Linked DNA regions of Diceros bicornis minor. The protein of the gene in region 4 purifies or fractionates together with the protein of the main gene of each other region. This does not show direct contact. Links are inferred from orthologs where the notes say so. Each region holds a gene or a part of one and is shown on either strand. Other genes may lie near its edges.

Evidence for each region.
Region 1: the proteins of histone H2A.Z (region 4) and bromodomain-containing protein 8 purify together in Homo sapiens (affinity purification with mass spectrometry; 4 studies listed by BioGRID and IntAct, with this or other methods). This does not show direct contact. The link is inferred for Diceros bicornis minor from reciprocal best matches to the Homo sapiens genes H2AZ1 and BRD8.
Region 2: the proteins of histone H2A.Z (region 4) and ACTR6 purify together in Homo sapiens (affinity purification with mass spectrometry; 4 studies listed by BioGRID and IntAct, with this or other methods). This does not show direct contact. The link is inferred for Diceros bicornis minor from reciprocal best matches to the Homo sapiens genes H2AZ1 and ACTR6.
Region 3: the proteins of histone H2A.Z (region 4) and MORF4L1 purify together in Homo sapiens (affinity purification with mass spectrometry; 4 studies listed by BioGRID and IntAct, with this or other methods). This does not show direct contact. The link is inferred for Diceros bicornis minor from reciprocal best matches to the Homo sapiens genes H2AZ1 and MORF4L1.

What each region holds. Positions count from the first base shown.
Region 1 is NC_080740.1:56,789,002-56,796,283, forward strand, and holds the start of bromodomain-containing protein 8, read right to left. Parts: upstream 3,001-7,282; 5' UTR 2,696-3,000; coding exon 2,677-2,695; intron 1,451-2,676; coding exon 1,354-1,450; intron 1-1,353. Other genes in the region: kinesin-like protein KIF20A, read left to right, coding at 3,783-3,947, 5,766-5,855, 5,958-6,077, 6,670-6,808, 6,925-7,112, 7,199-7,282. UniProt on the Homo sapiens protein: May act as a coactivator during transcriptional activation by hormone-activated nuclear receptors (NR). Isoform 2 stimulates transcriptional activation by AR/DHTR, ESR1/NR3A1, RXRA/NR2B1 and THRB/ERBA2.
Region 2 is NC_080764.1:22,937,789-22,945,268, reverse strand, and holds the start of ACTR6 (actin-related protein 6), read left to right. Parts: upstream 1-4,470; 5' UTR 4,471-4,527; coding exon 4,528-4,595; intron 4,596-6,480; coding exon 6,481-6,598; intron 6,599-7,480. UniProt on the Homo sapiens protein: Required for formation and/or maintenance of proper nucleolar structure and function. Plays a dual role in the regulation of ribosomal DNA (rDNA) transcription.
Region 3 is NC_080744.1:71,150,675-71,157,989, reverse strand, and holds the start of MORF4L1 (mortality factor 4-like protein 1), read right to left. Parts: upstream 3,022-7,315; 5' UTR 2,965-3,021; coding exon 2,925-2,964; intron 1-2,924. UniProt on the Homo sapiens protein: Component of the NuA4 histone acetyltransferase (HAT) complex which is involved in transcriptional activation of select genes principally by acetylation of nucleosomal histones H4 and H2A.
Region 4 is NC_080747.1:82,677,158-82,683,866, forward strand, and holds histone H2A.Z, read right to left. Parts: upstream 2,661-6,709; 5' UTR 2,556-2,660; coding exon 2,553-2,555; intron 2,168-2,552; coding exon 2,090-2,167; intron 1,836-2,089; coding exon 1,722-1,835; intron 1,372-1,721; coding exon 1,242-1,371; intron 948-1,241; coding exon 886-947; 3' UTR 509-885; downstream 1-508. UniProt on the Homo sapiens protein: Variant histone H2A which replaces conventional H2A in a subset of nucleosomes. Nucleosomes wrap and compact DNA into chromatin, limiting DNA accessibility to the cellular machineries which require DNA as a template.

The DNA.
Region 1 (7,282 bases), on a different chromosome or scaffold from region 4:
TCACACAAAAAAAAAAGAAATATTGAGTGCCTAGACAATTCAACAAATACTGGGTACTGAGACAGCTGGGTATCTAAATGCAAAAGAGACCCCTGCCTTACAACATACACAAAAATTAACTCAAAATGGATCAAAGACCTAAATGTGTAGAGATAAAACTATAAAGCTCTTAAAAGAAAATATAGAAGTAAATGGTTTCTTAACTATGACACCAAAAGCACAAGCAACAAAAGAAAAAATAGATAAATTGGACATATCAAAATTAAAAACTTTTGTGCTGTAAAAAATACCAATCAAGAAAGTGAAAAGACAACACACAAAATAAGAGAAATATTTGCAAATCATCTATCTGACAAGGGATTTCTGTCCAAAATATAGAAAGAATTCTTAAAACTCAATAATAAAAAGATAAATAAACCAAAAGATCTGAGCAGACATTTCTCCAAAGAAGATATACAAATGGCCAATAAGCATATGAAAAGATGCTCAACATTAGTCATCAGGAATATGCAAAGCAAAACCACAATGAGATACCATTTCGCACTCACTAGTATGGCTATAACCAAAAAGACAGACAATAAGTGTTGCGGAGCACACAGAGAAATTGGGGCCCTCATTTACTGCTGGTGGGAATGTAAACCAGTGGGGCCCCTTTACAAATAGTTTGGCAGTTCCTTAAAAAAGTTAAACATAGAGTTACCATTCGTCCCAGCAATTCCACTCTTTCAAAAGAATTGAAAACATACATCTGCACAAAACCTCATATACGAATGTTCATAGCAGCATTAATTATAATAGTCAAAACAAGTGGAAACAACCCAAATGTTCATTAACTGATGAGTGGATAAACAAAATGTGGCATACCCATACAGTGGATTATTTTAGTCATAAAAAGAAATAAAATACTGATACATGCTACCATTTGGATGAACCTCGAAAAACATTACACTAAGTCAAAGAAGCCAGTCATAGAAGGCCACAAATTATGATTCTATTTACATGAAATGTCCAAAATAGGCAACCTAGAGAGACAGAAAGTAGATGAGTGGGTTGCCTAGGGGTGGGGGGATGGATGTTAGGGAGGTGTAGAGGAGATTGCAGAGTGACTGCTAAGGGGTAAGAGGTTTCTTTTAGGGGTAATGAAAATGTTCCAAAATTAGACTGTGATGACGGTTGCACAACTCTGTGAATACACTAAATTCTGTGATTATACTGGCTTAATTTTATGGTATGTGAATTAATAAAGCTGTTAAAAAAGAAATACTTCTCAAAGGTTAGTATGGAATCCATCAGTGTAAAAAAATACCCAACAGTTTCTAAGACCCATGAAAGGAGACATCCTAGATACCTTACCAATTTTGATCTCCACTCCTCATGACAGAAGACGCTAAACACAGCTTCTCTCGGATAGACCACGGCTCTGTGGGGCCAGTACTCAGCAGCTTGTGTTCTGAAATGAGAGAAGGCTTAGAGACAACCACTAAGACAGTGGTTCTAAGCCCCAAAGGCAAGTGGCCAGCCCAGTGGCACAGCAGTTAAGCGTGCACACTCTGCTTTGGCAGCCTGAGGGTTCCCAGGTTCAGATCCCGGGTGCACATCAACCCACCACCTGTCAAGCCATGCTGTGGCGGAGTCTCATATAAAGTAGAGGAAGATGGGCACAGACGTTAGCCCAGGGCCAATCTTCCTCAGCAAGAAAAAAAAAAAAGAGGAGGACTGGCACCGGATGTTAGCTCAGGACTGAGCATCCCCACCAAAAAAAAAAAAAAAAAAAAAAAAAGCCCCAAAGGTAGGACTAGACGCCTAATACAAAACAATACAACCAACTTTTAAGGACAAAGAGAGCTATCACCAAATCTTGATTTTCATCTTCCTAGTAAAATGCAACCACTGAGGCGGTCCCTATTGACTGCATGCGAATTGTACTCTATCTGGCAAAAGATTTTATTTCTTCGAATGCCATGTCTACTCTGCTTTACTCAAAAAAAAAAACGTGGGGGGAATGTCAGTTTCCCTTCAGTTTGGGAGAACCGCCTTATATTTAAGGCACTTCTCCCAAAACGCCCAGTTTTAAGAATACGTTATTCCAGTTTGAACGCAAGGGCTTATTTCCCACGACTCCGAGCGCCACCCCCCCTACCCCGCCCCCACTGCCCCGCCTCCTTCGCAAAAACTTGTTTACTTCTCTCAGTAATTCCACTTCCCTTTAGCTGTCGGGCTTAAAAGACCTCTTCGATCCATGAAACACACGAAAATGGCTGAGATGCATGAAACCCAATTTCCCCAATGGCACAAAAAGCTCTCGGTTAAAATACCGGGCCTCACAAACGTTAGTCAGAAAATGAATGCCGGCCACTCCGTATGGCCCACAGCGTTTCTCCACCCGCGTGTCCGAGTCTCTAGAGCACCTTTATCTCTCACCCCACAGAGCTCCCAAACACACAAGGATTCACTGAGCTGCTTCTCTCAAATCTCCGCGGCCTCCCTGAGACACAAGATTCAACACGGCTAGGCCCCTAACCGTTGGCCTTCACGACACCGTCGAGCAAAGGTCTCTGAAGACCCTGGGCTCTCAGGCAAATCATTGCTCCTACTCCCTAAGCGTGTGGCAGAAAATCTGGCGCCTGGCCTCCGCTCTACAAACGCCTTCCACGCAAAAGCAGCCCAGATACTTACTGCCCGTTCCTGTAGCCATCTTGGCCCCGATGTCTCCAACCCCGGAGGCGAGACAGCCTAGCAGGGCCGAAACCCGGGGAACTCTGGGAAGCAGAGTCCGGGAGTTTGTTCGCGGTGCCTCCTGGGAAATGGAGTCCCACACCCCAACGCGCGACGAAAAAGCACCCTAAACCAGGTCTCTTTGTGCGCACCTGGGAAGGAATGTGCTAAAGAAGAACAAAGGATGGCGGCTGAAGCCTCAGGATTTCCTTTAGGCTTCTTAGAAAAGAAATACCTAGGGTTCAAGAAAAAGTGTTAAGCGGGCAGGATTTCAGCCGACCCAACTCCAAACTCCGACAGTTGGTAACCCGGACCCACATTAGAGCGGAGAAGTCAAAGCCCCGAGCAAACGGTCTCCCAGCCTCGCCCGCCCCCTTTCCTTGCGCTGATTGGTAGCTGCAAGCTTCGCTATCTGATTGGCCGAACGAACGCAGCGCGTAATTTAAAACATTGTATCAGTAACAAAAGGTGTGCCTCGTGGGCGGAGTTGTGCTCTCTGGCAGCGAAAGTCCAGGTTCGGCGGCGAAAATCAAGGTTCGGTGGCAGAGTGTGAGTGACCGGAGAAGGACCAAGTGTCGCGTCTTCAGGTGAGTGTGGGGCTGTGCTGGAGCCCAGCTGGAGTACCAGCTCTTGCCCTCGCGGAATAGGCTTTCAGAAAGCGGTGCTGCTGCCATCCCTTGTTTTCTTAATACCTCTGTCCTCACTGTGGGCCTCCGGCCGAGGTTGGAGAAGGAACCTAGCCTACTGACACTACCTCCACAACACCGGTGGGCAAGGCACCCTGCTTGGATCGTGGCCTTCTGCTTTTGGAGCCAGATATCTGTTCATTCCTGTTCGAGGTCGGAAATGCTGCCTCAGGCTGGATTAAATGATTAACTCCTCCCATCCCCTTCCCCTCTGCTGGTAGTTGAAGGGAAAAGGGAGTGGGAATTCAGGCAGCGAGACCAAGGTGTCCTGGGGCAAGGGAATTTTTTTTTCTTACCTAGAATTTGCAGCCCCTCTGTCCCCTAAGGTTCTCCTCCCTACCCACCCTTGTCTCTTTTTAGACCTAAGCTGCCCCTGCTGTCATGTCGCAAGGGATCCTTTCTCCGCCAGCCGGCTTGCTATCAGATGAGGAGGTCGTAGTCTCCCCCATGTTTGAGTCCACAGCTGCGGATTTGGGGTCTGTGGTACGCAAGGACCTCCTGTCAGACTGCTCTGTCATCTCCACCTCCCTGGAAGACAAGCAGCAGGTAAAGGAGTTGGTTGGAGAATGGCTTGGGGTACCCAGGCAGAAAAAATTTTCCTTCTACCCTTCTAGGTTCTTCGGCTGTTCTAATAATTAAACTGACGTAAGACAGATTAACTGGAGAAAAACAAATTTAATTTTGTACATACAGGCAGTCAGGCAACTGAGGCTTAGATGCCATCCTGAGCTAAGGAATGGGATAGGGACCTGGGGTTTCAAAGGGGAGGAGGGCAATTCACAGGAAGATAATAAGAGCAGATGTTTGGTAATCAAATGTTTGCCCTGCCATGTAGATAAGTCTTTCAGATAAAAAGTTATCTCTGGTAATAGCTCTCTTTCTGGGCCAGGCCCCCTCTGTAAAATCTTTTAGACAGTTAAGGGAGAGGTAAAGTTTTTCTTGAGTCTGCTGGATCATAATTGCTTTCAGCTCACAATAATCCACTTGCCAGAGTGGCACATTTTGGGGTGGCATATTCTGTTCCCCTTCAGTAGTTTGGGGGCAGAAAGTGATATCCTCAGCCTACTAGTTGTCCATACAGAGTAGTATGAAGTCAAAAACCAGCAATCCTGAGGGTCTGAGAGATCAATTCAAAATTAAGAGATGACAAGTAAAAAATGTAGAGTTGTGTGTCCATGAGAAGTATTATTTGCATTGCATTAATGAAACACCCTCAGTGCATACTCTCAGGTAATCCTATGAGGAAAGGCTAATAGTTCTCTCTCCTTCACCATGAGGCCCAGAGGTGTTAAATAATTTGCATAGGGTCATACAGCCATCAAGTAGGTGGAATGTACATTCAGGTTTTAAAATCAGCCATTGCTTCCATTTATGGAGCCTTTCTTTCTGCTAAGCTGGGTTTCTCAGCTGCAGCATTATTAACATTTGGGGCCAGATAATTCTTTGATATACAGGGGTGTACTGTGCGTTGTAAGATGTTTAGCAGCATTCCTGGCCTCTACTCACTAGATGTCAGTAGCTCCTTCCCACTTGTGACAACCAAGACTACTCTCCTGACATTACTAAAGTTCCCTTGGGAGGGAAATGGCCCTGGTTGAGAACAGCTCCACTTAGAAGTCTCCTCTTTTATAGAGAAAGTTTCATGAAAGCAGGAACCTTGATAATGTCCCTCACTGCGGACTACCATAGTCCCTGGGCCATAGTAGGCAGCTCTCTAAATATCTGTTGAATGAATGAGGTGGGTGCTATTATAACCCCATTCTATAGATGAGGAAACTGAGGCAAAGAAATTTCAAGAACTTTTTTTTTTTTACCCCCAAAGCCCCAGTAGATAGTTGTATGTCATAGTTGCACATCCTTCTAGTTGCTGTATGTGGGACGCGGCCTCAGCATGGCTGGAGAAGCGGTGCGTCAGTGCGCGCCCGGGGTCTGAACCCCAGCCACCAGTAGTGGAGTACGTGCACTTAACCACTAAGCCATGGGGCCGGCCCTAAATAACTTTTTCAAGGTCTCAAAATTACTAAATGATGGAATTGGGACTCAAATTCAGGTGTGTCTGCCTCCAAGGTGCCTAACTACTGTGCTTTGCCTTAATATCACAGGCTGATTTTCATACCGGTCAACAGTTCTAACTCAGATAATCAGTGTGTTAAGCCAGGTTTTCAGGATACTGAAGAGACAGGGAAGGGTGATAAAGTAGTGGAAAAGTCCATGTGTGTTGGAATGATTATGGAACCAAAGAGTAGCTGCACAGAAACATCTGAGGTAGAATGTTAGCGTGATTACCAGGAACTGTGTTATGTTTGCCAATCTTAAATAACTGCTGAGATTAATATGTAGTTCCGGCCTGGAATTCTGCCACAGGTTCCATCTGAGGATAGTACAGAGAAGGTGAAAGTATACCTGAGGGTCAGGCCCTTGTTACCTTCAGAGTTGGAACGACAGGAGGATCAGGTGAGTTTCTGAGGAGGGAGGATTCAAGGTAGAATGATGCAGTACAGAAGAGGTTCCCAGGAACGTTTCCTTCTGTGACAACTGTGTTTTCCCCCTTCTCAGGGTTGTGTCCATATTGAGAATGTGGAGACCCTTGTTCTACAGGCACCCAAGGACTCCTTTGCCCAGAAGAGCAATGAGCGGGGAATTGGACAAGCAACCCACAGATTCACCTTTTCCCAGGTACGGAGGTACTGGTCTGTGAACAAGGGACCAACGTGTAGGGGGTACTTCATTCCCTCTTTAGCGGGAAAGCTTTTTACTTCACTACGAGTTCCTTATATATGCATGTCTACAATTTTGGGGACCCTTGTGTGCTAGTCAATGTGTCAAGTACTTTATATGAATTAATTCCCAACAACTCATTATTATTATTATTATTATTGTCACTATTTTTCCTGACAAGGATACTGTGGCTCAATGAAGGTAATGTTGCTGAAGCCATGTAGCTAGTCATTGGTAGAGTTAGGACTTGAATCTAGATCCATCCATCTCCAGAGTCCACACTTGTGACCATTATGTTGTCCCATTGTGTGTGCAGCATCGGACTTAGTGGACAGCATTCCTTAAGTATTTGTTGATTTGGATGAAAGATGGACTGGCAGAGAGTGGTTGAGTCTGCAGTGTTTAGGGAGCAGCTGGCAGCACTGCAGGAAGAAGCTGCTTGAGTAGTCTCCAGAGCCAGCCACCCAAAAAGGGATGTATCTGCTGGCTCTGCACAGGAGGCAAGTGGGAGATGAAGAATGGGCCTCTGAGAAACTGGGTCTGTCTCTAGATCTTTGGGCCAGAAGTGGGACAGGCATCCTTCTTCAACCTGACCGTGAAGGAGATGGTAAAGGACGTACTCAAAGGGCAGAATTGGCTCATCTATACATATGGAGTCACCAACTCAGGGAAAACCCACACAATTCAAGGTTAGTAGGCCTCATAGGATTCCTGACTGGCCTGTAATGGTGTTGTCTTTGCCTTTTGATGCTCTGAGTTGGGGAACAGCACTTGCCTCAGCTATCTGTCATTCACATACCTCCAGGTACCGTCAAGGATGGAGGGATCCTGCCCCGGTCCCTGGCTCTGATCTTCAAAAGCCTCCAAGGCCAGCTTCATCCAACCCCTGATCTGAAGCCCGTGCTCTCCAATGAGGTAATCTGGCTAGACAGCAAACAGATCCAGCAGGAAGAAATGAAGAAACTGACCCTGCTAAATGGAGGCCTCCAAGAGGTGAAGCGTTGGTGTTCATAGAGATGGGGATAGAGGGACAAATCTCTGGAAAGTTTTGTACTTATCTTCTCCCTGGGCCCCTCCAGGAGGAGCTGTCCACCTCCTTGAAGAAGAGTGTCTACATTGAAAGTCGGATGGGTACCAGCACCAGCTTTGACAGTGGTATTGCT
Region 2 (7,480 bases), on a different chromosome or scaffold from region 4:
CGTCCTCTGTCCTGACGCCCGTGGGTGCTTAACTCCCAATCCCAGAACCTTGGGCTTTAGTCCTCCCTCCCCACCTTCTGGTCATGTTCCTCCTCCATCACTGAATCCTTCCACGTGCACTTCTCTTTTTCATTTCCTCAGAATTTGCTCCACAAACTGCTCTGCTTGCTTTGCTCTCTTTGCCTACTCGGCTTTCTTCATATTCTTTCCTCAGTGTCTTCTCGTTTGCTAAGGCATTCTGCCTTCCCCCGACTAAATGCTGCAATTTAATGTTTCCTTTGGTCATTCCAGTCCTAAGGGAAGGAAAAGTTGACAACGTGTCTTTAAATAGAGTCCAGGACCTGGGAATTAGAAGGCCTAAAATCAGTTCTTGGCTCTAGTGTTTTCTAGCTGTGTTAACCTGGCTAAAATAATTTCCTTACTTTTAGCCTGAATTGAGTCATCTACAAAATAGGTTAATAATATCAGCCTTACCCACCTTATTAGGTTGTTGTATCTAAAGAAATAAGGATGTAAAATTTCACTTAAAAATTTCTGTAAAAAGGAAGGAAATTTTTGAAATAGCGGGCAAAACTATTAGGTTCTGCACCTCCACCCCACCCAGCCCCAAACCACCTTTCTTCAGAGGTGAAAACGACCCCCCAGAGATGTCTAAAAGAGGGTAAGAAATTACACTGCCTCTGAGGAATGTATCAGGAAGGTGTGTGGGTATGTGCGGGGTGGGGTTCTGGGGGGAGTAGTTTACACATAGTCCAACAACCTGGCCCTTTTCAAAGAGAAAGGAGATATATGTGTGTTGACTATTTACTCACTTAACATTTATCATGCACTATAAACTAGGCACTATTCAAGTATCTAGGGTTGCCTAAACAAAAACAAAAAACCTGCTCCTGCCGTGGAAGAGTTAACAGCCTAGCATGGGAGGTAGATTCTTGGTGCTCTTGTCAGTAGACTCTGGTTCAAATACTAGCTCAGCCAGTTTGTAGCTGTGTAAACTTGGGCAAGTTATTTAATCTCTGTCAGCCTCAGTTACCTCATCTATTGGAGAAAATATTAAAAATAATTAACAGAATTTTGTGAGGACTAAATGACATTATGCATATAAAGTGTTCAACAAAATGTCTATCATGTGGCAAGCTCTTAATAAGTGCTATTATTATTATCATTAGTATTGTTGAAATCAGAAGCAAAGTGCTATGAGAACACAAAGGAGGGAGTGATTCATTCTATCCTGTTAAGTCAGAGATGGATTTACAATGGAGATACTACTTCAAAGATAAGACTAAGTCAGCTTAATGTCTTAAAAAAACTGATCCTGAAGTCGAAGACTTAGATTTGAAACCTAGCTCTGTGGATTTTTTAGCTATGTCATCATAGGAAAAGGATTGAACTTCTGGAGCGCCATGACGTTATTTACCTTCATGATGTTGTTGTGAGGATTAATCAAGCTACTGAAGGTAAAGACTTAGAGAGTGCCAGACACAATAGAATGGTAGCTATTATTATTAATTCACTAGGCAGAAAATGATGTTTCAGGCAGATGGAACACAATTATGAAAAAGGACAGAAGTGTCAGTGTCCAAGTTCTTCTAAATGGCAAGTGGCCTAATGTTGTGGCTAGAACAAAACATGGATTCCTTTTCAAAGTAATAAGTCTCAAAGAACCCCACAGGTTAATAATTGTAGTTATAGTATCTTTTTATTGAGAAAATACATGGTAATAATTTCAATTTTACTCTCCCTGGATTGAGAGAACACATAATGTCACAAAACCAACATAAATTCAGTGTTTTAAATTAGTTTACATTTTGGTTAATTGCTTTTTAATTATCCAAGTATAATTTTCAAAAATTTAAAAACATGACTGTCATACAAATATATAATGAACGTGCATCAAAGATTTATTAACTTATATTAATGCAAGAACCAAGAAGATAGGGTATAAAGCTAGTTCACTCATTAATATGACAAATAAATCTGTTGCACATGTTCATTATTTATTTATTTTTATTATTATTATTATTTTTTGCTGAGGAAGATTCACCGTGAGCTAACATCTGTGCCAATCTTCCTCTATTTTGTATGTGGGTTGCCACCACAGCATGGCCACCAATGAGTGGTGTAGGTCCGTGCCCAGGAACCAAACCCGGGCCGCCAAAGTGGAGCATGCCAAACTTAACCACTTTACCAGCCCATCATTATGTATTTATATCAGAGTCATGTTTTTTAACTCTTTTAAAACTATACATTGCTAAAATATACATGTACATACATGAAAATTAATATTTATATATGTGAGATTATTTGTGCTAAAACCTGGGAGAGGAATGTGCATGGTGTGCAAGTGAATGGAGTTAGAGCTTTTACTGAAAAGTCTGTGCTGAAGCTGGCTCATACTGGCTCATGAGAACCAATTGTGTGCATCTCTTTCCAATTCTGTGTTTGGTATTTGGTAACCTCAGGATAGCTTGAAATCAGCCATTGTTACAATATTTACACCACAGAAGGTAGTAAACACTACAAATCAGGGCTTTTTTTTCTTCCTGGAGATCTTGTTAAACATTTACCAGTACACACTGTAAGATGGATTTTAGGGGAATGAGATTGCAAATGTATAGACATTATTTCACAGGCAATGTCAAGCCACGGAAGACTTCTGTGGTGAGTGAATTTAGGGAGAATGATCAATTTTCTGATTTAGAAAAATATTTGCTGATAATTATGCTGGCAGTACAGAGGACAGATCACAATGAGAAGAGAATGGAGGCAGCAAGGGCATTGAGAAGGCAGTGGCATTATTTCAGGTGAGAAGGCAGTATCAGTAGAGATGAAAGTCAAGGACAGACTCCAGAGATTAAGTCAAGGATTGAGGTTGAAGGTAATTGAGATTTCTAGCTTGGGGCACTGGGTAGATCTTGGGGGCACAACACTAATTGAGATAAGTAATATAGCTGGAACAAGCAGTTTTGGAGATAAGACTCAGTTCTGGATTTGTTGCCTTTAAGGTTATCTCAGGATATCTGGGTAGAAACATTCAGATTACAGTTAGGGGTGGAAATTCTGCTTTAGGATTTATCAGTACGTAATGAGAGCTGAAGCCAACAACAAAAATGATCTTGAACCAAGAGCGAGTAAGTTAGGAAAGCAAAAAGAGAAGCTTAAATGACAAAGGGTAAAGACAAATGATAACCAGAAGGAGAGACAGAATTGAAAGAGCATGTTTTAAAAGATGAGAATGAATAGAAATGATGGCTGCTCTATGATGTAAGATTTATAAAATATTCTTTCCATGTTTGGAGTTTAATCAATTTAATATTAAATTAGAGAAAATAGAATGACTAAAATTGAGCATTTAACAATTTTTTGATACAAAGGGATATTGACACCAATCAAGTGCCTGACTTCAAGGAGTTTGCCATCTATGCAAGTTAACAGAGAATGATCATATAAGAGGAGGAGGAGGAGGATGATAACTACTACCAGGTACTTGACTTTTATAATTTACTTTTCATAAAACAATTCTGCAAGGGGGCGTTATTAATATAATTCCATTTTACAGATGAGGAAATTAAGGCATAGAGAGGTTAACTAACCTGTCCAAGCCATCTAGTGGCAGAGCCAGGATTTGACCCAGAAATTTGAATGCAAAGATGGCACTCCTAACCACTATCTCTTTGATTTCAATAATAGTACCTACTTCATAAATTGTGAAGATTAAATTAGTTCATATATGTAAAGCTCTTAGAACTGTTTACCCACAAGCATTAAGTAAGTGCTATGTATTAACCATTATTATCTTCACCGCCCAAGGTTACACAGACATTATGTGGCAGAGTCCGGATTCCAATCCAAAATTCGTTCTCTTAACCATTATGATATTAAAGGAGTTTGCCCTAGTCAGATGTCGAGAAGCGTTTTTAGCTTCAGATAAGAATGACACAGAGCTCTGTCCCGAAGAACAAGTAGACAGAGGAAGAGTAAGAGAGTGAGTGGAAAAGCAAGGCGGCTGACAGAACAACATATTTGTATTTCAGGGTGGTCGGCTCCTACAGTCGGATGGGCAGTTGCGGGGACTGAGGGTGAAGAGATCTCAAATCCAATTCCATGCTGCGTATGGTTTTGCACTTTATTCTTCAAGAAATGTCACTGTGTGAACCATACTATTCGAACACACACACACACACACACACACACACACAGCTGGTTCGCTACAGGGGGTTGGAAGAAACTTGCAGGAGCGAGTCAATCTGCGAAATAAAGAACAAATACGCAAAGGGAGATAAAGCACTCAGCAGTTTCCACTCTTGTTGGATCTCGCCACGACTTGTATGGGTTAGGCTTGGAAGCACGCTACAACTCGCGCTGACAGGCAGGGCGGCAGTGCGGTCTCTGACTTCCGGCGTCCTCCGTTGCTAAGAGAGACCGGAAGCGTCCTTACGCCCCGCTCTTGCAAACCATAGAGTGCCGGAAAACGTGTGAGCAGAAGGGACGGGAAGAGAACGCCACGGCGCCGTCGTTTGTGCTAAAATGACGACTTTAGTGCTTGATAACGGAGCTTACAATGCCAAAATCGGTTACAGCCATGAAAATGTCTCGTAAGTGTTTGCTTCCTCCGAGGGTCGAGGCGTATATGCCTAGTAGTTTCACATGCTACCCTTCATCCTGGGACATCAGTAAACTGCAAACGCCCCCGCGCGGCCTTAAGCTGAGCCAGAGGGATGCTCTTGTTGGAGCTGGGTGGTTAGGACGCTTTGAAGGGTGATTTTAGTGTTCATTTTGGGCTACGTGGCCCCGGAAGTGGGACGTGTGTTTCCTTTCGTAACAGGAAATAGCTCAGGAAAATAGTCTTGTAGAGAAGCGGTTGGACACCAAGTTCATGAACCCTCAGGAATCGTGGGCAACATTTTGTGTGTATATGCATCTTGTTTGGGACGCGGCTGTAGCTTTCGTCGGATCTTTAAAAGGTTCCATGGCTTTAAAAAAAAGTGTAAAAACCACTGTCTTAGTGGCTGGAGACTTTGAAGAGTTTGAAATTCAAATAGCATTAAACTGGTGAAGGTAACCACAATGAGAAAGGCTTTGTGCCTAAGCCTTTCGAGGTGCTCATTGGGTGACCTGGTTGATTAGAGTCAAACAGAAATACAATGGCATTCGTAATATATGTTTGAATAAAGAGTAAGCAGATTTAAAGACACGCTTTTCTTCTATCATATTCATAGAGGATTTATTTTTCTTTTCCTTTCTCCCTCTTTTCCTTTTTGTGTTTTAAGAGGACAAACTGTAGGAATGTAGATTGTTACAGTCTTCTGGAAAACATTTTGGCAATGTGTATCATTCTTCTTATTCTTTGACACAGCAATTCTATTATCAGTTATCTAAGGAATAAGAGGTATTTGATAAAAGTAAGTACAGGATGCTCTATATTATTTATAGATATTGTGTATGGTAGCAAAAAAAAGTGGAAAGCAACCTAAAAAATCAAGAATGGAAATTGAGTAAAATTGTAATACAACCATAAGATTGACTACAATGAAGCTTTTAAAAATCATATCCTCAAAGAATATTTAAACATATAGAGAAAATGACAGCATAGTAAGTGAAATAAGCAGGTACCAAACATTTTTACAGTATTATCCTAATATCTTCCCTCTCTCTCTTTCTCTGTATGTATACACACACGTATATATACATATACATATGTACGTGTGTTTATGATTGATAATGGCTCTAGTTTGCCTTCCTAACTAGATTGTAAGCTCATGGTGGGCAGCAACCATATTTAAAACTACTTCCTACTTCTGTACCCTATAGCGTCTTGCTGATTGAAAATCTTTGACTTCCGGGCTGGCCCGTGACTTAGCGGTTAAGTGCGTGGGCTCTGCTGCTGGCGGCCCGGGGTCGCATCCAGGGTGCGCGCGGATGCACCGCTTTTTCGGCCATGCTGAGTCCGCATCCCACATACAGCAACTAGAAGGATGTGCAGCTATGACATACAACTATCTACTGGGGCTTTGGGGGGAAAAAATAAATAAATAAAATTATTAAAAAATATATATTAAAAAAAAAAGAAAATCTTTGACTTCATGGAAACTTAATTTCATGGCCAGAATTTTGAACTTGTAAATCTTTTACCAGAATGGTAGTAAGAATTTCTGCATTCAAGTCAGAAAGACCAGGAACTTTACCTAAGCCCCAGCTCTCATCTGTGCAGTGGCAGAACCAATACCCGCCTGTAAGGATTCCTTGAGGATTATTTGAGAAAGATAAAAGGTCCAGTATAGAACCTGGTATATACTAGAACCTTAAAGAAAAAAGAAGACTTTTTTTTATTATTTGAAGACAGATTGGGAAACTGCTTTTGCATATTTTGGGGGAAACTGCTTTTGCATATTTTGGCATCGAGGGTGATGACTAAGTAAATGTATTTTTAGGAACTAAGTATTTAGGGAATAATTATATTATTTGTTTCTTTATTTATAGGGTTATTCCTAACTGTCAGTTCAGGTCAAAAACGGCGCGACTTAAAACTTTTACTGCTAACCAGATAGATGAAATAAAGGACCCTTCTGGACTCTTTTACATTCTTCCTTTTCAGAAGGTAATTCAACTATATGTTATTTCTAGCATTATAGACCTAAATTTAAAGATAATTTTTAAATGTATGTATAAGATTTTGTATGTATGAAAAAATTTTTAGGTCTCTGTTAAGAGTTATTTAAATTTTAAATAAGATCTTTTTAAAACCAAAAATTGAAATTAAATTGTCTTGTTAAAAATAAATGACCCTGGTTTAGTTACTGATTGTGGGTACTGAATTTTACTTGTTTATGTTAAAGCTAAACGAGATGAACACATTAGAGAAAATAAGTATAGGGGCCGGCCCAATTTCATAGTGATTAAGTTCCACGTGCTCCGCTTTGGTGGCTCGGAGTTCGCAGGTTTGGAAACCGGGCATGGACCTTCACCACTCATCAAGCCATGCTGTGGTGGTGTCCCACATGCAAACTAGAGGAAGATTGGCTGTAGATGTTAGTTCAGGGCTTCTCTTCCTCAAGCGGAAGAGAAGAGGAAGATTGGCAACAGGTGTTAGCTCAGGGCCAATCTGCCTCACCAAAAAAATAAATAAATAAATAAAAATATAAATCCCTTTTATTTTTGGTGAGGAAGATTGGCCTTGAGCTAACATCTGTGGCCAGTCTTTCTCTATTTTGCACGTGGGACACCACCACAGCATGGCTTGATGAGTGGTATAGGTCCGTGCCTGGGATCCAAACCTGCGAACCCCCAGCCTCCGAAGCAGAGCACATGAACTTAACCACTATGCCACCGGCCCGGCCCAGCCTCCCTTTTAAAATATAAAAAAAAAAAAAAGAAAAGAAGTATAGAGAGGTATATCTACATATTGTTATTTCTTTTGAACCCTTGACGTTTTGGTTATTGTTAATTTGTAATTTTTTGAACCTTTAAAAACAGAAAAACA
Region 3 (7,315 bases), on a different chromosome or scaffold from region 4:
TAAGGCACAGCATTAATAAACAGCAGCACCAAAGATCAGATCTCTGTCTCCTAATTTCACTTTCCAGGTACACTTTAAAGGCACCCTGAAAATGGCCCTACACCCCCCTCTGGCTGCTGCTGTCAAAGAAAACTGCACTGATGCTAAGTGCAATTTTGACCTCCATTCTAGCAACCTGGCCCTAATACTGTTGAAAAAATATACAGCTAGCTAGGGAGTGCACCACAGAATAACAAATGCCTATTATGGAAGTGGAGAGAAAGACTGGCAATTGGGGAAAGAGCAAACCACTGTAATAGATACATTTTTTTAGATCCTTCTCCACTCTTAATCCTTTCCAGCAAACTACAAAGGTAATTCTGCCCAATGCTCCCAAATTCAAGGTTGATGAGATTCCAATTCCCCATCTTCCCATTGGTTTGTGCTTACTAGGAACATCACTCAAAAGCCCGCATCAGTCTCTCAATTCCTGACAAGGCAAAAGGGCCTTCCCTCTGACAATGGGCTAGACGCCCAACAGTTTTCTTTACCCTATGCTTTAACAGAATTTCAAGTGCAGTGCAAAACAGTCACTGTGCTTAAAAATTGCTGACAGCATATGCTGTACCATTATTAGATGAGAAAAACTTGGGCGTTTAAAGGAATCAGGAAAACAATACTACTTCTGATAACTCATTTTTCCACTACATTGATTTTTCTACATTTTGATATACTTGGCACTGAGTATTTCTACTTTTTCCTACAATATATTCTCTAAGTATGTCTTAAAAATAACTAACTATAATTTCTTAAAGATGGTTATACAACTCAGCTTTGACACAAGAGTAGAAAACACATCTGGAAAGTGATGGTTAAGGGCAGAGACTCTCTTAGGTAGCTTTCAAAACCTTACTTAATAAGGGTACCTTGGTTCCTATTCTTCTCTATTTCACCACAATAGCAGCACATGGAGTTCCCTACGCCGTTATCCCCCCTCACTCGACCATCTCTTTAAGTTTAGAACTAAAGCACTTCCTCCAGAAAGCCATCCTTGACTGTTCCAAGCCTCAGAGATTTTCCTTTGATATCCTACAGTAGGGATTAACTTTTTGTGCCATGGACCCGACAGTTTAGTGAAGGCTACAGGACTTTTCCTAAAATGTTTTTATGAACACACAAAACACAGTACTACAAAGGAAATCTACTGTATTGGAATAGTTACCAAACACTTTAAATATCATTTTCTATATTACATGAGCTCTTTAATTGATGTAGTAAACATTTAGCTGCAGATCCAGTAACTATCATAATTCTGAAGTAATGAGGAGCATAAGTGACATCCGACTATATCTCCCACAACTGTAAACCCTGGGATATGAAAACACACTGCCACTACTACTGCTAGGTTTTTCTTTTGGCGGGGGTGGGGGCGCCCACATTCATAATTAAAATACTAAATTTCAGTTAGATAATAAAAAAAGAAAAACTTTTCCCGTCCAAGTTCACGGATCTTCTGAATTAAATCCACTAACTCTAGATTTAAAATCTCTGCTCTAAAACACGCGATTTAAAAAAAAGAATCCATAGGAGGTAGTCACAGCTTCTCAAAACGGGAGAAGGCAGGTATTAAGAGTCTGTCATTATCAAAAATACCCTTGAAAAACTCTTAAATATTCCATAAGGTTACAATATACTTGGGGTTTGAGTATATGACTCTAACGGTAATCCTAACGCACATTAACGTTTGAAAATCCTTACAAGAAAATTTTTTTGCAGACATCTGGACATCTATGGTAACTAGCACATATATTCATAACAATGAAAAGGTAATTTTAAAGCGTTCCTGCTGCGTTTTATTTCCACTTTAGTTTACTATAAAGCCTCCACTTTAATATACATTAATACATGTGTTAATTGTGAAAATTAAAGAGCTGTCTTCCATTGGAAGTCAGGTTCCACCGTCAGCCAAGACCTGTCGATCAAAACCCAATTAATAAAAATCTCAACTTTCAAGTTACTATTAAACGTTATTGCAATTAATCAAACAGTTGCTGTATTTAAAAGATGACATCAAGGCAATAGGACTTATAAATGGAAACATCACAATACTGCATTAAAGGAGCTTTTATTTGTTTTTATACAAGCAATCGCACAGCATGAGCGCGCGCACTCTCCCTTCGGATCTTGGCACCGGGCTTTTCGGAGAGCAAAACGATGCCTTCGGGCGACACAAAGCAGACAAAGACGCCCCTGCTCCTTTCTCCGGCCCCTACCCCTCTCCCCGAGGTCGGCGCGGGGGAACCGGCTTCCGCGCGCTCGCGGGGGAAGGGGGCGCTGCATCTGCCCTCGAGCTGCGGCCGCGGCCGGCGCCGGCGGCCATGATGCGCCAGCCATCTCGCAGCGGCCATTTTACAACGCAGTTCTCCCGCCGCGGGGCGCGAAGCCCACCCCCCGGCCGCAGCCCCGAGGCTCCACCGAACGCCACCACCTTGGGGCTCGAGGCGGCTCCGGAGCGCCCGCCGCTGGCCGCCCCCGCGGCCGGAGACCCCGTGCGAGCGCCCGAACCGGCCGCCGCTCCCTCCCCTCCCCTCCGCCACATCACTTCCCCTCAGCGCCGCCATGGCGCACCCGTCGCCGCCCGACAATAGGCTACTTTCTCCGCGCCCTCTTCCTCAGAACAATAACAAACACTTGACTACGGCTCTGCCACGCGCCAGGCGCGCTCTCCCACTCGCACGCCCGCGGGACGCTTTCGCTTCACACGGCGTCTTCTCCCAATGACGCACCGAAACTACCCGCCGCAATGCGCTTTCTGCACAAAGCCCTGCCCGCCGCCGTCTCGGGGCGCAGCCCAGGCCGCCCCCGGGCCCCCAAATTCGACCACATCAAGCCCGCCTCCCTCTCCTGCGCCGTTAGGTGCCCTTTCCCAAAAGGCCGAGACTCACCCTCCTGGAATTTAGGCTTCGGGTCCTGCTTCGGCGCCATTTATAAGTGATTCGCCGCCGCCTCCTCCTTCTCCCACCACCCCCGACTACCGCCCCCTACTCTCTACCCCACCCAACTCCGCGTCAGACGCGCCGTCAGGCACCGCCAGCTCTACATCCTGGGCCCGATTTGCCAGCGCCCGCAGACCTCACAGCACCGCGACCCGCGCAGCCGCCGCTCCAGCCAACGGCTGCCCGCCGCGCACGCGCCCCTGCGCCCGCGCCGCCCCGGGGCACGCCGGGATTGGTAGTTCCAAGGCGGCTGAGGCGCCGCGGGGTGGGGGAAGGGCGGTGCCCCTGGCCCCCCCCCCCCCCCATTCCCCATTTACCTGCTCCCGGACCGCCAGGGGTTGTTCAAGCCTGGATTTGATTTTGTGCGTTGTTGGTGCGAGGGGAAGTGTGGCGGTGTGCATCACCGGCGATAAAAGAATGGGAAAAGCCCAGTTGTGGAGTCCCATGGGCAATATAGGGCCACAATGATGTGGGCTTTGAAGTGGCCTGAGAGAAAAGGCTGCCTCTGAAGCCTACCTGCAAAAGCATCTCGAGTAGTTTCTGCATAGGACAGCTTTAGGGCCAGCAGTCTGGCCAGAAAATGGAGTCGGCGTCTAGAAGTTTCGTTGGTTAGCAAGCTCACTGCCAGTTTATTTGGTGGCACTAATGGCCGTTTGTCGGCGCCTGCTCATACCCTTTTCCAGGAAATGAGGAAGAATGGGAGACACTAGGCAGGCTGGGGATCGAGCTTTGGCTTTTCGAGATAATGGAGTTCTGCGCGCCACCGAAAGAGGCTAACGCGAAAAATGCCGTATAATATCTAAGCGGGAGTTCTGCACTTGCCCTATTTGTGCAATCTTTTGTCACCTAATTTCTTTGGGCTATTATTAAATATACACACAACTTAAACGAATTTCCTCATGTCGTTCCCATGTTCAAAAAGTCCTTAGTTTGCTCAGCTGCAAAATGGGGAGAATAATAGCACTTTTCCATCGGTTTACTGTGATAGTTGCATGGAAAGGCTTCTGCGGTGCTTAACAGTGAATCAGTGCTCAACAAACGTTGAGGAGGAGGAATCCCAAAGTCCTTAGCCTGGCATTCAAGTGCGTCCACAAGCAGTGCTCAACCATCCCTCAGGCCTTACACTTGTCTCCACGGCTGTTCTAAACCCGCCCCTGAGCGTGCTATGCATCCCACCAATTCTAGACTCCTCTCCATTTATCTGACTCCGGTTTCTTTTTCCATCTTCCTTCCAACACAATGGCTTCTTGGGCCACAGAAATCCACAAAGAACCGCCATTCCAGTTGTCTATACACCACCTTGCTGGTACTACTCCTTCAAGTATCAAAGAAAGGGGCAAGGGCCTCTTTGTGACCCCAACCAAACTGTCCGGCACACTTCTTTTTTAAACTTTTTGAATAAAAATACTTTAAAATAATTCAATAATTCAAAATTTTAAAAATATAAAAATGAAGATAGTGAAAAGTTCCTTTCGCACCTCGGTCCCTCATCTGCCCATTCCCGCAACAAAGGTACTACTGTTACAGTTGTTGGAGGATCCTTGCAGAGTTCTTTATCCTAGCAGCCTCATTATGTTCTTTATTTATATTAAACTTAATTTTTTGCCTTTGTTTTAACTATACAAGTGATACTTGAATATTTGGGTTGTTCATGATGCAACAATTCACAAGTATAAAATACAGGGCAAAACTTCAAGAATCCTTTTATTTTCCCTCATTTACTTCCCCATCAGTTGGCATGGACATTTTTCTGTACTCCCTATTGTTTTTTCTTTTACCGTAAATAGACTGTACGTATTGTTCTGTGTCTTCTTCTTTTTTAACTTAACGATATGACTTAGAGATCACTCCAATTACATGTGTCCATCTCACATTTTTAATTGGTCATGACATACCATAGTATAAATAGACCATAATTTATCTAACCTTGGTTCTGTTGCTGGACATTTAGGTTGCTTTCAATTTTCCACTGTTAGAAACCTACGTCTTTCAAACCTAAATCTTTGTGCACACTGCTTTTATTTTTTTTAAGAGCCTAGATGTAGAATCACTGAATCAAAGGATGTGGGCATTTTAAACTGTCTTATGAAAGGCTTCATCAATTTACATTTCAACCAGCAATTTAGGAGAAGGCCTGTTTTGCGACATCCTTGCCTAACAAAGTAATACCAGTCTCTAAAATTTTGTGTTAATATAACACATGTTGTACAAAGGAAACCAGACAGCAAAGAAATATACTTTATCGATGGTGTTAGAAATCAGGAGCATGATTAACTGGAGTGGAAGGGGGCACTGACTTGGACACGGGCACTTAGGGAACTTCAGGGAGCTGGAAATGTTCTATATCTTGATCTGGTGTGGTTACAAAGGTGTTTACCTATGTAAAATTCATGAAGCTGTACACTTACGAGTAATGCACTTTATCTTATCCACATTATGCCTTAATAAAAATATCTCAAAAGTCACTTTATTTTATATTTTATTATGAAAATTTCAAACATACAGAAACGTAGAAAGAATACATTATATATCATCTCATTTCAACAATTGTATTTTCCCGTATTTGCCTTGTATCAGCACCTATCATGTCTGATTTCTTCAGTATGTACTTCCAAAATAGAAAGGCATTCTCCTACGTACCACAATACTGTTGTCACACCCAACACGATTAACAATAATTCCCTAAAATTATACGATTTCTACTCCACATTTCCACACTTGTTCCTAAAATATTTTTATATTTGTATGCTTGTTGCTTGTTTTTTCAAAACAGGATCCATTAAATGACAATGTATTGCATTTGGTTGTTAGAGCTCATCTTTTTAACGTTCTAGACCAGAAATTCTTAAAGTAGGAGTCCATGGATACAATTCAAAGGGTCCGTGAACTTGGATGGGAAAAACTTACATCTTGATTTTCACCGAACTTGTGAAATTTAGCATTTCCTTTTGTTATAAATGAAGGTACCAAACTACAATAGTATCAGCAGCACACGTGGCTTTGTCACAATAAAAATCAGATGTTTTCATATCACATTACAGTTCCTACATATATCTCAGAGATATTTACATTCATCATTCCTTTGAAATTATTGTACTTATTAGACCTGCTGTTAGATCTTGTTATTTAATGCATTAAAAATGAAGCATGTACATTACCATATCATATTTTAAGATGTTTTGATAGCTGTATTTCAATATAATTGTTTTCTTTTATAATCCTATGTTTTTTATTTTGTACACTTAAAAACATTCTGAAAAAAGTGTTCATTGGCTTCACCAGACTGCCATGGGGGTGGGAGCGGAGCCCTTGGCACAAAAACAGTCCACCCACACATATACACCTTATTATTAGTGGTATTAGTATTTGTTCATGACATTTGCTTTTGAAGAAACTGAGGCTTTTTGAATGTCTGACATTCTGGATTTATCTGATTGTTTATTCATGGTGTCACTTAACTCGTTTCTCTTTTCTCTGTATTTTCTACAAACTTAAAGTTAGGTCTCAAGACTTGATTAGATCTGAGTGTTTTTAACAATATGTTATAGCTGATGCTATGCACTTCTCATTGCATCACATCAGGAGGCACGTGATGTCTGGTTGTCTCATTAGTGATGCTAAATTTGATCACTGGACAAAGAGGTTACTTGTTTCCTTGGACACTTTTGGTTTTGCATAATGAAATAGTTTTTTAATTTAAAAACACATACCAAAGCAGAGGGGATAGTACAATGAACCATGGTGTATCCATCATTCAACTTCTGTAGGTATTAACATGTGGCTAATCTTGTTTCATTTATACCCACCTATTCCTCCATCCACCCAAATACCTACACACAAATCCCAGATATCATATCTATTTCATTCATAAACAAGTGAGTAGGCATCCCTAAAAGATAAAGGCCCTTTTTAACACAGTACCATTATTACATAAAAAAAAATAATAATCCCTTAATATCTTCAAGTATCCAGTCAGTGTTCAGATTCCCCCGATTGTCTCATACATGTTTTTTTATGATTGCTTGGTTGAAATCAGGATCCAAACACAGTCCACACATTTCATTGCATTTCATTTAATTGAGTTGACTCTGTTTGTCTCTTTCTTTTTCTTGACATTTACTTGTTGAAGAAACTGGATCACAGAGAATTAACACACTTTCTTAAATTCATTTATAGAATAATTGAATGTAAAGTTTTCAAATATGAGTTCTATGGGAGAATAAAATGTGTTTGATTTGGTATATCTTTGAATATATTCTTTTAGTACAAATAGTAATAAATCATTAGTCAACATAATAAATTATCAGCCAACAATAAGAACAAAATATCCTTTGAGATCA
Region 4 (6,709 bases):
GCTAGCAGATAACGTAACTCGGGAGTGACAGAAATCCTGTCTCTTCTGTGAAATGGTAATAGTATGTACCCCAAAGATGTCACCAAATATTGAACAATTCAGGGCGACTTTAAAACAGCGCATCACATACAAATTCTGAACTGAAAGTTCCGTCTGTGGAGACAGATACATACAGGACTTCCCCACCTGCCCTGCCCTCCCCAAGTCCACCACAGCAGCAGGGCCGCGGGCCGGCACTGGCACATACAGCAAGGACAGCCAGAGCGGAGCTGGAAACAGCCCAACACTGTAACTTGTCCCATTCCAGCCCCTGCACAAGTTTTTACATCTTCAATAGCTCGTTACATAACATTCAAAAAAAAATTACACTTAGGTCTTTTGACTTAGTTGATCTACCGAATTAAAGGTTTAATTTCAAGGAAAGAAATATGCTTAAGTTATTGCTGGATGAGATACTTATTCAAAACAAAGTAGTTCCTATTACAATCAAGCGAATTTAAAACGCAACTAATTTGGGATATGACCTTTATTGAGCTTCTCCACCGGAGTGGAAATAATGTCTGTACAAAACCAAATGTTTGTTACTATAACTTCTGCATCACAATTAAAATCCAAACAGTTTTTTAAAAACAGTCAACTCAATCAAAACCCACTACTTCAGAATCAATAGCTTCTTTGAAGCCACAGTAACACTTAAATATGGTTAAGACTCGAATGCAGAAATTTGGTTGGTTGGAAAGCTAATTAAACTTCCAACTTGCTCAAATAGAATTACAAAAAGGCAAAATTGTGTTTTTCACAGAGATACAGTCCACTGGAATCACCAACACTGGACAGCTGTTAGAGTATTTAGAGTCCTGAGATAACAAGGAATCCAGGCATCCTTTAGACAGTCTTCTGTTGTCCTTTCTTCCCAATCAGAGATTTGTGGATGTGTGGAATGACACCTAGGAGAGGGACAGAAATTCTACTTTTTAATATACATTTTTTTAAATCACACAGTACTTAAAGCCAAGACAGTTCAACGTCCAACTTGGAAGATGTCTTTAAATCAGTAGCTCAAGAATGCAGAGTAAAAATTCATTAAGTTATATATATAAACAAAATTCAAGGATGCAACCATAATGCAGATCAGGGAAAATATATTTGGGTCCTCTTCTAAACTAAAAATTACCAATGAGAACTAAAAAAGAATTCTCTTCTCTAAAGAAATCTACAATAAAATTTTAGTATTTACATACCACCACCAGCAATTGTAGCCTTGATGAGAGAGTCCAATTCTTCATCTCCACGAATAGCAAGTTGCAAGTGACGAGGGGTAATACGCTTTACCTTCAAGTCTTTTGATGCATTTCCTGCCAATTCAAGTACCTAGAAGGCAGAATCTAATCAATCTCCTTCCTTCTTTCCTTAAAGTAAAGATCCAGAGAGTAGAATCAAATCTTCATTAAAGCTACCAATCGTCACCACCTCCCACTACCTGAATAGCAAGACATGCGAAAACCATAGGCAGGACGCATACAGCAATTTTATTTCCAAGAGCAGCAAACTCAAGCTCAGCAGGACCCCTTAACGACCACCAGCTCCCTCTAGCGTTCTCAGAGCCTCCTCGCGCGCTCAGGGCCTGGGAGTTTTCTTGCATCACTTTCCTCCTTTGCTCTCGCCGCCTCCCTCAACACCCCCCCAAACCTCTTCCAGATTATAGGCGTACACCCATTTACCTCTGCGGTGAGGTACTCCAGGATGGCTGCGCTGTACACAGCGGCAGTCGCGCCCACACGTCCATGGCTGGTCGTCCTAGATTTCAGGTGCCGATGAATGCGGCCCACCGGGAACTTCATTCCAAGCGCAAACATAAATGCACAAAGATGCAAGAGTCAAAGACGGCGAAATCCCACGCGCGCCCGAGCGAGCGCAGGGACGCCGGCGCAGAAGGCGCCCGCCCCTCCCCGAGAGGTATTGTGTCGGCGGGCCGAGTCGCGACACCGCATCGCCCACGCAAAGCCGCACCGCCCACCCAGAGCGACGGTAAACAAGAGGGGGAGAAGAAAACCGCCGCGATGCCCAAGCTGCGCCCACCGCCACTGACCTGCAAGCCGGCTCTCTGCGAGCGGGAAACCGCCTTTGTCTTGGCCTTTCCGGAGTCCTTCCCAGCCTTACCGCCAGCCTGCGGCGCGCACGCCCCGAGCCAAGCCGAAACGGAGATAGGATTACCAGGGCTGCGCCCCTCCCCCACGGCGCCGAGCGCCGCGGCCGCCCCCGCCCGGCCCGCGGTCCCCACCCCGCCCGCCGCGCGCCGGCCCCCGCCGCGGCCGCGCGCCTCCGCCCGCTCCCGCCGCGGCCCCCGGCGGCGCCGCGCGCACCACCCAGCCGCCGCCGCCGCGAGACCCGAGCCTGCTCCGCTCGCCGCCGACGAAACGCCTCCCCCCGCGCTGCAAGCCCGTCTCCGCGCGCTCCCAACCGTCGCCACTTCACCCCGTCTGCGTGTCTAACGGGTTTTCCTCCCGCCGGCACAAACCCGCGGGGTCCTCGAGCGCCTCCGCGAAGTTTACCATTTCCAATTCTGCGGCAGCTCAGACAAGCAAGGCAGAAAAAAGACTAGTCAGACACCCAGCGAGATCCGGCGCCTACTCCGCCGTCGCACCGCGATTCAAACTGCGCTGTCTCCCGCCTTCCCCGCTCCCTTTATACTGCAGAATGTTCCCTCATCCGGGAACTCGGATTGCTCATCCCACCAATGGCCGCTGCCCGCCCTCGGGACGCGTCCTTGAGGACTCAGCCAATGAGCAAGCGAAGAGAAGGGCGGAGGGGCGGGCGCTTCGAAGCTCCAACCACTATTGGGGCGTGGGGAGGGGGGTGGGGGACGGTGGAGGGATGGGAACGCAGAAGAAGGGCACGGCGGCGGGAGGGAAGAAACAGAGTGAGCTCTGCTTCGGCAGCGCGGAGTCCTGCCGGCTGCGGTCACGTGTCTGGGAGGAGGCCCTGAGGGTCAGGGGAGGGGCGGAGAGCGGCGGCCCCCGGTTTCCTAGCGGGCTCCGGGGACCACGTGAAGTGGCCACGGGGTACTTCCCGCCCCCTCCCCCACCCCCGGAGGCCCACAGCCTCCTTCCGGGGCCCCTCGTCCCCGCCCCCTGCGCGTCCCCGCGGCTCCTCCCCTCCTGTGTGACAGGTGGCGCGAACCCGTCCAGTCAGAGGAGCCCGGAGGCCTCCGCAAACCACAGCCTCTATGGAGGTTCTGCGTTTCTTGCCCCTTTGCGTGTCCCCAGCCGCCAGCTGATCACGGTCCCACTTCATTTTCAGCTGTGTCTCCCACCTCCTCTTTCCTCTTCACTTTTGAAAACCCCCACGGATAATTCCATAGGAACAAACCGTGGAGCAGTCATCTCATTGGACACAAAAGACCTTTTGGTCTAGGTAGGGAGGGCTCTGGGTGAGGCGGTATTCTTGTCTCTTTTTTTTTTGTGGGGAAGATCAGCCCTGAGCTAACATTCATGCTAATCCTCCTCTCTTTGCTGAGGAAGACTGGCCCTGAGCTAACATCCTTTGCCAATCCTCCTCCTCTTTTTCCCTAAAGCCCCAGTAGATAGTTGTACGTCATAGTTGCACATCCTGCTGGTTGCTGTATGTGGGTCTCGGCCTCAGCATGGCCTGAGAAGTGGTGTGTTGGTGCGCGCCCGGGATCTGAACCCCGGGCCACGGGTAGGGGAGACCGTGCATAAGCCGCTGGGCTGGCCCGGTATTCTTTTCTTTAATTGAATCGTACACCAGATTTTTCTGCAAACTACTATTGGTAGGTTGTGCCTATAGCCTGGTGTCTATAAAGTTGATTTAGTGAAACCTCAAAGCTATTGTGTCAACTTTTCTATCCTAAACATTTTGCCACATGACAAATGTTCAGTAAATGTCAGTGGGCTAACTCCCCACATGATTCACAGGCAGTTACAGATGGTCCATGTAATCAATTGCAAATGGTGGGCTTAAAAAATAGTACTGTACGCACAGTACTATCATGATGCCAGCTAGTCTTCCAACTAATAGATTAATAACACCTGTGTACATCTCCAACTGCTTAGAGACAGTAGGGATTTAAGTCTTTAATATTTACAGTGTTTAATAGCATATTACACATTAACGTAATTCAATATTTCCAACGTGAAGAAATTTTGGAATATGTATTCTTAAGTATTTTAGATTGGGTTTCAATTTGAAAGAGCTTATCAAATTAAGGGACCTCCCTGTGTCTGGGAGATAAATTCTAGAGAAGAGGTTCCCAACAATTTTGACATTAAGGCTTATTATTTCTTGCCCTTGGAACTGAGGCATTCTTATGATGTCATCAATAGCAAGAGTTAATCAGTTTCCCCACTGAACTGATATAATGACAATAAAAAGCTATGAAACCTGAGGTAATAGTTAACCTGCACTCCAGGGAGACTTCCTGATTTATAACTCACAAACCAACATTAATACCTTTTCCAGTTTAGAGAATATGTGCTCTTTGCTATGAGGCCCAACTAAAGGAATTCACTGCTGTCTCACTGAATAGTGGTTAAGAGAACAGCTCAGGAGCAGGTAGACATGAATTAATTCTACACTGCTTTCTTCTCACTGTGTCATCTTAGTTACTAATCTTTTGGAGCTTCAAGTTCCTCTTCTATGAAAACGGTGTAGTAACACCTATTTCCACGTGGTTGTTAAAAGATTAAAGGAGATGGTATGCACTGTGCTCTCCAGCACGTTTGTCACACAGTAAGCACTCAATGATAACTACTATTATCTTCTACAATGGTTGCTGGGGAGGGGTGAAATAAAATATTTTTGATTCCTAAATCTTTTTTCCTGTCTAGTACGTTACCTTCCTTTGATGTGGAAGCAGCCAGCCTGAAAGCTGCCCAAAGTGTACACACCCAAGTCATCCAACATCTAGACTAAAATCCAAAATTGGTTTACTACATTCAATAGTTTTCCTCTTCCTTTGGAGAACAGGACAATATCAGTTTCTCCACTTTTCGCAACAGTTGTGTGAAGATTTTCTACTGTCTTTGCTGCTCTGGAAAAGGCATGGTGCAAATACATTAATATTCTTGTGTTATCTACCCTGTATTTGTGTTTATACTAATACATGTATATAATATACATAGCCAGAACTATATAATTATTTTTGTTCAATGTCATACTCAATTAGCTACTTAATAAGTGCTCTCTTGTCATAAAAAACTAAACAAAGAATTCGATGGCCCTAATATTATTGACTCTCTCCTTAATAGCTTTTCCCTAACTCAGGCCGACTTTCTATGACCAGTTACTATCTCCTTTCAAACACTAGCATGTATGTTAACTACTGTTCTTGACTTTTTACATTGAGAATTTGAGAGAGAGTCTCACACTTGGGAATCTCAAATTTCTCAAGTACGTCTTGCTTTAAACATCTATTTTTAAGCAAATAGGAACGACTTCCCAATTATTTTACCTAGAGCATCCAAGAAAGGATGTACCTTCAACAACTCGCTCAGTGGTTGATAACTGAGTTCCAGTGCAGTAGAATACAAAATACTGACCTGGAGTGTAAGAGCGGAGAATGCGTCTGGCAGCCACTCACTAGCTATATGGCCTGAAGTAAGTTAAACTCTAAGCCACGGTTTCTTCATTTATTAAATAGGAATTCACAGCACCAGATAAGCCAACCTCATAGAACTGTGAGAGGATTTCATGAAGTATGAAGAATATACGGAATGGTGTTTTAATATTTGTGGCACAAAACCTGTTATTCTCCCTGAATTCTCAACATAAATATGATTATGTTAAGAGAAGCCTGTGTGTTTGACTCAGTGTTGATGAAGCCAAGGCCACGGATTTAAATGCAAAATTGCCCAGTTATACACTTCCCATGACCACAGATTATACACACTTAATTCACAAATACTACAGGGCGCAGGTTACAAGAAGATCAGCTGAATCTACTCTACCTGATCCACTGCCGTTTCAGGAAAAATAATTCAAAGATCATGGGACCCATTATCTCTTTTAATACAGAACTTATTTTTTCCTTACTTAACAGTCCTCAGAATTTTTGGAAATTTGCTGTTTTAATATAAAAAATCGAGTGTCTTTTCTTATATTATCCTTTCATTATCTATTATTGATCTCTAGGATTTGCTAGGCAGAGGGAGGGAGTCTATGTGTTAATATTGTTTTCCCAAATAAGATTTCACTTTCCTATATTAGTATTTTGTAACTTTTACCCCTCCAGCTAAATTGTAAATCCACATGCACAATAGTGTCCCTATCATACATTTCTAACATAATGGCAAGAAGATATTTGTAGACATTTAACACATTATTTTTATTGTATTATCGTCTTTTGTCTGTACATATGTACCTGAGATGAGATGCAATACCACACATCATAACACAGGATACGTAATCCCTTGCTAATAAAGGGACAGATGTGGTGTATTCCAGCTTGATGCTGTCAGCCTCTTAGGTAAACTAAAACATGGCCATTAAGTTGCACTAACGTGCCAGGCAACACGCCAGGCAAGAGCAGTTGGGAGACAGGATATATAGGGCCTAGGTTCCTCCCTCGATCTAGCTGAGAGGATTAGACAGGGAGGAAAATTTTGAAAATGCTCTAATCATTAAGATCACTTCAATAAGACAGTTACAAAATAAGTACATGATTGGCTGTCAAATCGACCATTCCTCTAGT